Canis lupus familiaris: one gene and its partner. The protein of the gene in region 1 interacts with the protein of each later gene in a pairwise test. Links are inferred from orthologs where the notes say so. Each region holds a gene or a part of one and is shown on either strand. Other genes may lie near its edges.

Region 1 (6,195 bases):
TCCATAGAGGGAATACTTGCTGTAGGCAGAACTCAGGCTTCACCCTGACTCAATCTCCTTACAGTTCTCCTGGAACTTCTATGGAAGTCCTTCAGGGGAAGGGTCTGGGAATCACCTTCTGGTTGGAGAGACTCTCATTATCCCAAGCCTGTCCCTCCGCTGGGGGGCCCACTTCTGGACTTCCTGAGACTGGGGCAGGGGGCCTGGGCAGAGCACAGTGTCCTGGGAGAGAGGTTCCCTGCCCCCACTCTTGGAGGCACACAATGGCTGCTTTCTCCCCTGTGACCTTTCCACAGCCTGAGCTGTATGCAGCTGTCTCCTCCCCTCTCCCAAGGGGCCGGGGATGGGCGACATCTCCCCTGCCCCTGAGAAGGACCCTATCCTGGCCCCCTCTTCTTGTTTCCAAAGTTTGCTTCTCTCCAAGTAGTGGAGAGTGCCCTCCAGGGCCCTTGCCCACTTGGGGCTTCTTCCTTAGGGGCAGGAGCAGAAGGAGAGCAGTGGGTGTGAACAGGGCACGGTTTCTGGCATCTTGTGCTGGGTCCACATCCCAGCAACCCCACTCACTAGCTTTGTGACCTTGAGCCAGCACTCTAATCTCTCTGAGCCACTGTTTCTCATTGGTATAGCAAGGGTAGCGCTTCCTGCCTTGCCTAACAGTTGTGAGAGACATCGTGCATACAGGCCCAGCTAGTACAGAGTGGGTATCCAGTTTTAGTTCCTTTGCCCTCTCCATCCCAGTTAAGAGGGGTTCCGGCTCAGCCCATCAGTGATGAGGCCAGGAAGCTCAGCATGAGAAGGCCTCTTGCCTGCCAAGACGAGGACAGAGGCAGGAGCCCATGGAAGCATACAGTGGGTCGGGCTGGTGGGCCAGTGGGTCCAGCAGAAGCCTGGGTGCAGGAGGCATGTGGCACTGACCCAGACACAGGAGGGGTACCTAGGGTTGTCTGGCACGCTACAGCAATGTTGCATCCCTTAGGGGATTCCTGCCTCCGGGGGAAGGGCTAGCCAATTGTCTTGTTCCCTGGGAAAGGCTGCAGGACAAGAAGATGTGCCGGCTGAGTAGACCCTGGGGACCACTCCCCCCACTCACCCCTAGACAGGCAGAGATGTGTAGGCAGGGGCACAGCTGCCAGTCACCTGCTGTGAGCCTTTGGGGAAATCCCTCCTACGCCATGGCTCAGCTTCCTCATCAGTAACCTGTGTGCCCTGATGGTCCCAGCTCCTGGGGCTTTGGGAAGCTGAGTAAGGGAACGTGTGAGCATGGTGTGAGCCCAGAGCAGGTGCCCAGGAGACATTGCCTGTGATCTGGCCTTGGCTGACCCTGGTTCCCCCACTGGCAGACCCCGGCTGGGCTTCCATCAGCAGGGGAGTGCTGGTGTGTGACGAGTGCTGCAGTGTGCACCGGAGCCTGGGCCGCCACATTTCCATCGTCAAGCACCTTCGCCACAGCGCCTGGCCTCCCACACTGCTGCAGGTACGGGGCTAGGCCGGGCGGGTCTTCATTCTGCAGAATGTGCTGAGCATGGACACGTTTCCCCCTACACTCACTCTGCTCGGGATTTTGGCAGCTTCCAAAGGGCAGCACTCACCTGGGGCAGAACCTGACTCTGACCCTTTCCGCCCATTATGCTAGCCATGCAGACAGGAGGCTTCTAAGACTGGGGTCTTACAGATCTGGGCACTCACCCCAGCTCTGCCATGTACTAGCTTGGCCATGTAGCACTGAGCAAGTCACTTAACTTCTCTGAGCCTTGGCACGCTTGCTGTGCCACCTGAAGTGCCAAGTGGGACCCACATGCTCGAGTGGCCCACCTAGTTGAAGGTGCACCGGTGGCAGGTACACAGGAGGCCCATTGGTACTGCTTCTAGCTCCGCTGGCTGCAGCCAGCACTTGGAGGGGTTTCCCCCAGTAGCCGGTGCACAGTGGGCACCCTGACTTGGCACCTCTTCCCTGCAGATGGTGCACACGCTCGCCAGCAACGGGGCCAACTCCATCTGGGAGCATTCCCTGCTGGACCCTGCACAAGTGCAGAGTGGCCGGCGCAAAGCCAACCCCCAAGACAAAGTCCAGTGAGTTGGGCCAGAGGGGTGGTGGCAGGGGGTGCATGGTCTGAGATGCGGGTCCAAGAGGTGGACCGGTGACTGGCCTCTCCCGCTCTGCTCACCGTCGCATCCTATGCGCCCTGCCCAGCCCCATCAAGTCAGAATTCATCAGGGCCAAGTACCAGATGCTGGCGTTTGTGCACAAGCTTCCTTGCCGGGACGATGATGGGGTGACTGCCAAAGATCTCAGCAAGGTTGGAGGGGCCCCATGGGGGATGGGTGGGCCTCCTCTCTTGTCACCTGTGACACCCTTTAGGGCCTCTCCTGCATCACCACTGAGCCCTAGGCCTCAAAGGTGTTCAGGTCAGGCAAGAATAGGGGGTACAGCAGGGGGACAAGATTGTGTGGTCAGGTAGCATGTGGTCAAGGCCCCTCAGCTCCCAAGTGGACACAACAGGGCTAAAATCCTCCATCTGCCACTCAAATGCTGTGAAGACTTGGGGCCATTTCTTAGCCACTCAGAGCCTCAGTCTCCTCTGTAAAATGGGAAAGAACGAACAGCATCTCCCTCATAGACAACATCTGTCTCAACCAGAGTTCGCAGCCCAGGTAGCCAGTGACTGATGGCAGCTCTTGTTTGGCATTAACTCCTTGGGGGAAGTCCTCTGTCCTCCCTGACAACCCAACTTCAGCTGGGCCCCTGGAGCTGGTAGGAGTCCCAGCAGCTGCCTGACGTGGTACAGCTTGAGGAGGGGCAGGGCCTCATACACACATCAGTGGCACACTCTGCTCCTTGCAGCAACTGCACTCAAGTGTTCGGACAGGCAACTTGGAGACGTGTCTGCGCTTGCTGTCCCTGGGTGCCCAAGCCAACTTCTTCCATCCAGAGAAGGGCACCACACCTCTGCACGTGGCTGCCAAGGCGGGGCAGACACTGCAGGCTGAGCTGCTCGTGGTGTATGGGGCTGACCCAGGCTCCCCTGATGTGAATGGCCGCACACCCATTGATTATGCCAGGTGAGGGTCAGATGGTGGGTGAGGCTTTGGCGGGTGGGGGTGCTAGGCTGCTGCTGCAGGGCTGAGGCATGCCCCCTCCCCACAGGCAGGCGGGGCACCATGAGCTGGCGGAAAGGCTAGTCGAGTGCCAGTATGAGCTCACTGACCGGTTGGCCTTCTATCTCTGTGGACGCAAGCCGGGTGAGCAGAGCTCCGGGCAGGCCTGGGAGGGCCAGGCAGGTGGGACCCAGACACACCCCAGCAGCAGGTGCCATGGTGACAAAGCTGGCTGGGGAACGGTGTTGCTAGGCAACTGGCTCCTGTGAAATTGATGCAGGCTCTTGGCTACAGCACACTGGGATAGGAGTGGGGGTGGGCACAACTTCAGTCAGCTCCCATGGCTCTTGGGGGTGGCCTGCCCTCCTCCCTGTCCCCTGACACTTCTGGGTGCCAAGCCCTGCTCATGGCAGTGAGATGGGCTCCCAGTTGCCCAGGCCAGCTTGCACCAGTGACTTGGCATTTTTATTTTTGTTCAGATCACAAGAATGGGCATTACATCATCCCACAGATGGCTGACAGGTGAGTGCCCACCTGATGCCCCTTCCCAGAGGCTGTTGGATGCCATGTGGGTGCCTGAGCCCAGAGCTTCCACCCTTCCATCTCCCCAGGCTGTAGGGTCCTCCACTCTCTGGGGGCTGGCATTTCTGCCCAGTCCTCACTCCCCGATGCTGGGCCCCCAGGCAGGTGAGAGATGTCAGCTCAACATATGGCCAGCACAGCCTGAGCCCTATGGCTATCCCACACAGGCTCGAGTACAAGAACACCTGCCCTAGGAGTGGTGGATTGCGGACTTGTTTCCAGTGGCACTCACCCCACTGTACAATCTTTAGACAAACCTCTGTTCTTCGGTGAACAGATGGTGGGCTCCAGGGATTTGACTAACTTCGGGACTGCTGAGCAGGCCTCTGTGGGGTGCTCAGAAATTGTGCAGGGGCTGGGGTGCAGGGCACAGTACTATTGAGGTGTTTCTGCCTCTGATTTGATGATCTCAGGCGCCTAGGCTGTGGGGACCACTCACTCAGCTTACGAGATGGATGCTAGCGCCACCTAGTGGCCACTTCTGATGGCCAAGCCTCGCCAGGCTTTGCCAGCTGGCCTGGGGGTCTGAGAGAGAGGAGGCTCTCTCTTCCTCTCCGAAGGCCAGTGTGGGCAGACAGGGATGGTCAGGCCTAGGCAGCTTGGATCCTTGAACCCAGACCTACTCTGTTCTGAGACGCCGAGCGACCCTCCTGCTTCTCTGGTCTTACTCTGCCTGGTGTGTGTGTTTCAAACACATATCGGCATGTACTCAGTGAAATGGTGACCGAGCTCCGTTCCGGTGCCAGCTACTGTTCTCGGCCCTGAAACACAGAGGTAACTCAGACGTGATCTCTGCCCCAAAGGAGCTTGCAGTATGGAGAGGGAGGCCGCCTACTCAAGACAGCTGTAGTTCCCTGTGGGGAGTACCGCAAGAGAAATAAGGGCATAGATGATATAAGTGGGAAGTGCTGTGCAGGGAACTGCAGGCAGTCTGTGGGGCTGGAGTATAGTGTGAGGAATCCCAGGACAGGACTGGGATAGAAACAGGCGAGAGAATGGCCAGTCCTGTGAGCCCCCACAGGAGTAGACAGGATTCCAAGCACTGATGTGTGGAGTCAGCTCTGCCATTTATTGGCTGTTTGACTTCAGGCAGGCTGCTTGACCTCTCTTAGTTACCTCGTGGCATTGAGGGCAAGAGTTCCTGCCTTTTCTGGGCTGTTGAGAGGATTAAGTAAGATAATGCATGCCAAGCACATAGCATATTGTTTAAGTGAGCTTTTTGTTTAAGTACGGTTAAAGTATACCCCATACACATATTTTGTTATTGAGTTGTTTCTAAGGCCAGGAATAGCATGGCCCAGTGTGTCAGAAACATCACCCCAGCTGCTGGGTGGGAAAGGGGATTGTAGGGGAAGGATCAGAAGTGGGAAGATGGATGAAGAAACTCTAGCAAACAGGCAGCCCTGGGGAGGGGGAGGGGGCGGGGGGGGGTTGTTGCTCAGCGGTTTAGCACCACCTTCAGCCAGGGCGTGATCCTGGAGACCTGGGATCGAGTCTCACATCTGGCTCCCTGCATGGAGCCTGCTTCTCCCTCTGCCTGTGTCTCTGCCTCTCTCTCTCTCTCTCTCTCCCTCTTTGTGTCTCTCATGAATAAATAAATAAAATCTTAAAAAAAACAAAACAAAACAAAACAACTCTGGCAAAGGACTAGGGAAGAGAGACTGAGGGCAGAAGCTGGGGGAAGCTCCACCGGGGCCGGGGACACAGGTGCCCAGGGAGTGGGGCACAGAGGGAGAGAGCAAGCCTGTGGAGGAGCAGGTTGTGGGGGGAGACGAGTTCTGTTGTGTGCACTCTGGGGCTCACGTGTGCACAGAGGTGGGCATGAGTTTGCCCCGGGAAGGCTTGCACTGCCCTGCTCCTGGGTAATTGGTGCCTCTGTCCTGTTCTTTCCTCTGCTGCCTCCCTCTGGACTTAGATCTCGGCAAAAGTGCATGTCTCAGAGGTATATGGTGCCTGCTGCGGGAGCAGGCTCTGGAGGTGGGAGGGCTGGGGGGGGTGTTTGGTGTGCAGCATCTGGGATGTTGTCTTCCTGGGATCCCTGCATGTTCTGGAGTCACAGGCGGGGGCCTGGCCACCTCTAATGTCTGCCCATTCCCATCTCCCTCCTTCATCTACAGCCTAGACCTGTCTGAGTTGGCCAAAGCTGCCAAGAAGAAGCTGCAGGCGGTGAGTCTGCTTGGACAGGCCCCTGATGCTTAGAGCTGTCCCCATTTCTGACCTACACCCCTGCCATTGGTCCCCCTCCCTCCTGCCTTCCTGGCTCCCTCCCTATCCCCTCCCAGCCTTTTGTCTTTGACTCTGGCTCTGCCCTCTGCAGGCTTCAGGGCCCTAGCTTCCCCTCTGATCTATGAGGGCACTAACTGTTCTGACCTGGTCTCTCTCTGTCGTCTCCCACCTTGGAGCTTGACAGAGAGACCCCTGCCTCAGTTTCCAGTTCTGAGAAGGGGCTAGGCAGCACAGGGGACACAAGCCATTTCCCATGTCTTATGACATCTTGGTTGGGCTGGCCTTGTCAGC
Region 2 (6,195 bases), on another chromosome or scaffold:
TAAGGAGAGACATAAAGGAGACAGGGGTGAGTCATGCAACGGATTGGGGAAGGAGTGCTGCAGGCAGACAGGAGTCAGTGTACAAAGGCAAATCATGTAGCCTACATAGGTCATTGTGAGGACTCTGAGTGAAATGGGGAATCAAAGAAATATCTGTGGGGCTCTTTCTGTAGCATCATATCGTTATGAGTCAGATACCTGTAGCATCATTCTAGTGCCTAAAGAGTGGGGGGGATGTTGCTTCATTCAGAGAACTGTCCTTCCAACAATCAGACCCATACCCGGCCTAGAGGGAGGACATGGGGTGGGCAGTGGAGGGGAAGGAGCCTTGGACCAAATCCCATGCATGCCCCTGGAGGAGGAGGCGCAGGGGTGGGCTGGGGTGCAGCGTGTGCCGGGAGACATGGGCCTGGACATGTTGTGGCTGGCGCTGGACGTGGGGCAGAGGACAGGGACGTGGCCCCACTGAGGCTCTGCTCAGGGCTGTGTGCCTGCAGGACCAGTCTTCAGTACGGCATCATGTGTCTGAAGAGGCTCAATTACGACCGGAAGGAGCTAGAGAGACGACGGGAGGAAAGCCAGCATGAGATCAAGGGTAAGCTTGTCCAGCCCAGCATGGGGGCAGCCTTGGGGGGCAGGCCCCTGCCTCACCGTCCCCTGCCCCGCGTGAGTGGCGGGCGGGGGAGGCATTCCGTGTCTCAGGGAAGCTCCAGACCTAGGGACATGGTCTGTGCCCGAAGGGTGTTGCCATCTGGTGGAGAAGAAACAGTTCCTGCCCAGTCAGCTGCACCCCCCACCCCGCCCGCCAGTGGCCACCGGCTGGACCAGCACAGTGAACCCCCAGGCCGGTCCTGTAGACGGGTGTGGGAAGGTGGTCGTGCGGCTTGGTGATGTGGGCGGCACTGAGCAGTAAGGAGACAAGTCTGAGAAGACTCTTTGGAGGTGGAGAAAGAAGGGGATGGTGCCAGCCTAGGGGCAGGAGGCGGCCCCCGCAGGGGCTCCGGGGGAAGCCGAGAGCCACCTGGCCTGGAGTCTGGCAGGGGTGGAGGGTGCTGGGGCTGCTTCTTCAGGAGCCCGGGTGCCGGGGAGGAGGGAGAGGACACGGGAAGCGGGTGGACTGGAGCACTGGGCGCGGGGAGCCCCGCTTCTGCAGGCCGAACCTGTTGCTTCTTCCTGCCCCTTGCTTGCCGTGCCCTGCAGACGTGCTCGTCTGGACCAACGACCAGGTGGTGCACTGGGTGCAGTCCATTGGGCTCCGGGATTACGCAGGAAACCTGCAGGAGAGCGGCGTGCACGGAGCCCTGCTGGCCCTGGACGAGAACTTCGACCACAACACGCTGGCCCTGGTCCTGCAGATCCCCACGCAGAACACCCAGGTGGGCAGCCCTGTCCCGTCCCCCCGCCCCACTCTCCCGCCCTCTCCCCCTCCCGCTCACACACACAGGCTAGGGATTTGTTGGGGGGACTGTGCTAGAGCCTGTGTCGGGGGGACACGATGTCCTCGAACCCCCAAGCCGCCTAGGAAGCAAGTGTCCTTCACACGTGACGGGCAGGCACCCAGACCACGCTGCCGTGGGCACCCTCACCCTCTACAAGCCCCACCTTCACCTTTGACCGCTGCGGCGACCTTTCCTTGCTCTGCTTTTCTGACCTGACTGCTCTTAGAGGAGGACTAGCCCTGGGGCCCGAGGGGACCCGAGAGCCCGCCGTCTCCTCTGTCCCCGCCTGAAGGACAGGCCTCTGGGCCCCGCGGGTGGAGAGAGCTCACTGCACCAGATGCCACAGCCCAGAGCCTCCCCGGGCCAGGGCTTTGTGTCCCTGCCACAGCTGAGAAGACGAGATGTCTCCTTGAATCCCATTTCATAATCACTGCGGAGCTGTCGTCCAGGACTACCTGAGCTCCCTTGGGCTAATTTACACATTTGGCCTCTTGAACTTCCTGTGGGTGGCGGACGCTGGAAGTGCTACCTGTTGCCCGGAGCCCCTCCTGTCGTGCTGGCTCCCGCCGTCCAGGCCTCCTCCACACTGATTGGGGTTGACCCGGCCTCACCTCTTGTCATTTCACCGCCTCTGATTGTGTTGCGCGGAGCCCAGGCCTTTGGGGCTCCAGACGGAGTGGTCCTAATTCTTTTAGGCTTTCCTCATATAGACGCGCCTCCTGCCCTGATCGGTTTAGCCGCCCTCGTCTGGACTGTTTGCAGCTGTCAGGTCTCTTGAAATTCAGCCGCTAGAGCCACAAAAGCTATTCCGAGAGCAGATGTGTCTCGGCCTGCGTGAGGGTAGGCTGTGTCGGCCCATAACCTGGGGGCGTGCTGGTACTTTGGGGGTGCGGGGCGGCACACGGGCCCGGTGGGCCCCCCGCTGACCTGCAGAGTGAACATGGATCCTCAATTCCCTAAGCAAAGCTGAGATCCCCCAGTTCCCCCGCACGTGCTCGCCCGCCCCACAGCTTTGGGGGACGGTCACCGGAGGAGCAGTGTCATCTGGATGCCTGGAAGTGGACGATGCTCCTCCTCTTGCATCACTCATGAGAATCACCTTCTCGATGCTGACAGTTCCTGCGAGGCTCCGTGGTTAACGTTTTCCACCCAGAAATGGGCTTGTTCTTCTCCAGCGTCGGTCTCCTGTCCACACGTGTCCGCGCCTCTGCAGAGCAGCAGGAGGCCCCTCCGGCGCTTGCGAACCTTCCGGTTTTCCTGCCTGGTCCATTTAGCGCAGCTGTTAGGGGCGGCGGGAGCCGACCCGGTGTGGAATTCTTCACCAACTGTGGTTGAGAGTATCTGGTGGCCGTTTACAAAACTTTGTTGTTTCTGACGTTTCCCAAATCTCCTGCTGACTTAGGCTCCTGGAAGGTTTGGTCAAGGCCTATAGGCACGAGTCCGCCCAGGAGCCACAGGCCGTAGGACTGCGCCATCCTCCTGATTTAAATTTGTGATGTGGAGCCTTATGAAATAGGTTTCTTTCATCTAAATACACTAAGTCCTTATTTTCCATGGTCTCCATGCTCACTTACCCTCCAGAAGGGTAGTGACGCATGATTTTTCCCATATACACAGAATGTAGGGTTTTCCCCCCGTAAGTGACCTGTGCAAACGTATTCTGTGGTCTGACTTTGTGCAAAGTTACAGTTTTCTAATGGGCCCCACAGGAAAGAGTCCTAAGGCTGACAGGTCCACTTCTAAGAGGACACTGAGGTTTGCCTGAAGGAGCAGCGTTGGGGCTTGCGGGTTAAATGCACCGAAAGCTCCATCTCTGCCCTTGGGCCTCGAGGAAACAGGAGCAGCCTGGCAGAGAGGTCACTAACTCTACCCCTCTCATCTCTCCGTCTCTGCATCCATGGACTCCAGGCACGCCAGGTGATGGAACGAGAGTTCAACAACCTGTTGGCCTTGGGCACAGACCGGAAGCTGGATGATGTGAGTCCTTGGCTGTGAATTAGGGGCCCTTGGGGTTTGGGCATTGGTGGTTCGTTGGGTTGAAATTCCTGAGCTGTGCTTTCCTTGGGCCAAAGATCGGTGGCCGAAGGGAGGAAGCTGGGGGGAATTGGGATGATGGTGGGGAGGCGCAGGGGCAGGCCTGGCAATAGGCCTAGGGACGTCTCATGAAACTGCTCGCACAAAAACCAAAGGCTCCTGTGGGTCACGCGTCTGGCGTCTTCCAACTCTGTGCCCCGCCGCCCTCCTAGGCACGCAGGGTCACGGGTGCCCCACAGAGGCCACCGCTTTGAGATCACGCCTTTTTCTTAATTTCCGACCCCATGTCTCAGTGCTCTTGGCACTGCACAGCTCCAGCCTGCTTATCAGGATGCCCATGCTGTGGGAGCGTGCTGGCTCACGGGGTGGCATCTGGCCGAGGCCCTGCAGTGACCGGCCTGCCTGCTCGCACCGGGGCACGTGGCTCAGATGCATGAGCAGCGCGCGGCTTCCTCCCTGGTTCTACTCTTGAGTTAGCTTCAAGCCACGTTAAGGTTCTCCTCTCCTGACCCCCTGGTCAACGAAAAACCGGCCTTTCCCCCTGGGTTTCGGGGGCCTTTCCCTGAGTTTAGGCTGCTCTGTGTCCAGGAGGACCCGGGAGGCCCTGGGCCTGTCGCCCGAGGATGCAGCCCTTTCCTCGGCCCTCCTCCCTCTGCTCCCTCCCTCCGCTCCCTTCTCACTTTCCCATCACCAGCCTCGTCTACCTTTGCGTATCAGGTCAGCGCTGGCCGCCTGGGCTCCAAACAAGTCAAAAAAGAGCCCAGATTATTTATTTTTAGCATCTCCAGCTTCAATCAGGTCTGTTTCTTCTGATCTCCGTGGTCTATGTAGCTTCCCTTTCTGCACACCCTGCCCCGCCCAGCGCCGCTGTTTGGACTTTGGGGCCTGCTTGGGGGACACCGTCAGTGCTACCGACCTGTTAGTCTTTCTTAGCCAGGCTTAACAGGGCTAACGTGCCCCTCCGTGCACCGGCCGTTCTGCTTCAGCAGACCAGACACACGCGGGAACACACAGAATTCGTGGAGGGGTGTTTTCTTCAGAGGTACCTTGAAATTTAGACTGTGATCTTCACACACACATGCGATATACGTGCGTGCATGAGCGTGGCCGTACCGGCTGCCCCCGCTCTCAGAGGTCTGGATTTCCCCAGGGCCCCTGCCATGTGGACCCTCCTCTCACTCGCCCCCACACCTAGGAGCTTGGTTTTCTTGATGCTGCTTAGAAAAATGACTCCCATGGATCTTAGCGTGGTGCTTTCTAATTAGAAATCTACGTATCTCTTCAATCCTTACAAAAATATTCTTCGAAGGCCCTCTCAGGGCCAGGCATTGGCCCAGGCATGGGGTAGAGTGGTGGCCGACGTCCCTTTACACATCACGTGGACCAGGTCATGATCCCACCTGACGGGCTGATGAGGGACTAAGCCCACAGGGGACTTGCATGTACCACAGGCTGATGTGCGGCAGAGCAGGGACGGAACAGAACCGCCTCTGGTTCCTGTTCTCTCCTCGACACCCTGCTGTCCCCTCGGAGTGCACAGGGCTAGCCAGCCTCTCAGGCTTTGGACCCTGGGGTGGGGTTACTGAGGTGATGATGTCATCGATGATGTCATCTTGGCAGCACAGCGGACTTCCGGGATACAGCGAGGTGCGGGCTGCAGAGGACTGGTTCTTGCAGGAAGCTCACAGTGGAAAGGCCAGGTTCTGGGAACGAGGTGAGGTTTGGTGATGGTGGGCACAGTGCGGGTCAGAGCTCCGGGGAGATGCTTCCTGTCTGGCCGTCTAGCACAGCATCAGCAACTGTGAGCTGACTCCAGCTGCCTCCTCTTTCAGTCCTGGTTCTCAGTTTCCCCTCTCCGGCTTCAAGGCCCCGAAGGCTTGCACAGTAGGACTTGAGGGAGAAGAGGAGGGGAACAGAATGAACGTGTGGTAGGGGACAAGTGATAGGGTCGGCTGAAGGTGGAAATGGGGGGGAGCAGGGAGGGAGAGAGGAAGGGACAACAGTCTGGTTTGGGTTGAGGGCAGGATCCTGGAGCAAAAGAAACGAGGAAAGTTCCTGATGAACTCATGGATGGGAAGCCTGCGGGGGAAACCAGCTGACATCCATTCCTTCAACGGCCATTTATTGAGCCCTACAGTGTCCTTAAGCACTACCTTGGGGGCTGGGGATATGTCGGTCGGAACAAAAAAGATCCTGGTCTCGGTCCTGTGGAGCACAGAATTTGAAAGTCAGCGGGAGAGTTGAGGGAGTGGGGTGGAGGGACGTGGAGAGAAAGCTCAGGGAAATAACCTAAGCACAGGAAAACACGACGCTACGGTGCGGTGCGTGCCGTACCTGGTGCCAGGAGTCATAGGGGCCTTTGGCCTTGGGACTGGGCCGGGCTGCGGGGCCCTTGCGCCTCTGGCAGCTCTCTGCCTGCGCCGGTTCTGAGAACACGGGTGGGTCTCCATTGGGGTCGGGGCATGGGGAGATGAGGCACGGCTGCCAAGCAGGGTGGGAGTGGGCTCTGCAGGGCGGGAGGGAGCCGTGCAGAGGGTGGGGAGGTGGCCGTGCAAAAGGGGGGGGAAGGGGCTGTGCATAGGGCTCTGCAGGGTGGGGAGGGGGCCATGCACAGGGCTCTGCAGGGCGGGAGGGGGCCGTGCACAGGGCCATCCCGCAGGCCAGGGCTCTGGGTGCCCTTTGGCAGATGGTTCAGAGGCGCTGGCAGGCGGCAGAGGGCTGC

The links.
Region 2: the proteins of GIT1 (region 1) and PPFIA4 interact in a two-hybrid assay, tested with the Homo sapiens proteins (2 studies listed by BioGRID). The link is inferred for Canis lupus familiaris from reciprocal best matches to the Homo sapiens genes GIT1 and PPFIA4.

Annotation. Positions count from the first base shown.
Region 1 is NC_049230.1:43,652,974-43,659,168, reverse strand, and holds part of GIT1 (ARF GTPase-activating protein GIT1), read left to right. Parts: intron 1-1,340; coding exon 1,341-1,474; intron 1,475-1,957; coding exon 1,958-2,070; intron 2,071-2,191; coding exon 2,192-2,297; intron 2,298-2,842; coding exon 2,843-3,060; intron 3,061-3,145; coding exon 3,146-3,240; intron 3,241-3,575; coding exon 3,576-3,618; intron 3,619-5,593; coding exon 5,594-5,620; intron 5,621-5,795; coding exon 5,796-5,844; intron 5,845-6,195. UniProt on the Homo sapiens protein: GTPase-activating protein for ADP ribosylation factor family members, including ARF1.
Region 2 is NC_049228.1:252,980-259,174, reverse strand, and holds part of PPFIA4 (liprin-alpha-4), read left to right. Parts: intron 1-497; coding exon 498-595; intron 596-740; coding exon of another isoform or gene 741-909; intron 910-1,200; coding exon 1,201-1,376; intron 1,377-2,134; exon of another isoform or gene 2,135-3,347; coding exon 3,348-3,416; intron 3,417-6,195. UniProt on the Homo sapiens protein: May regulate the disassembly of focal adhesions. May localize receptor-like tyrosine phosphatases type 2A at specific sites on the plasma membrane, possibly regulating their interaction with the extracellular environment and their association with substrates.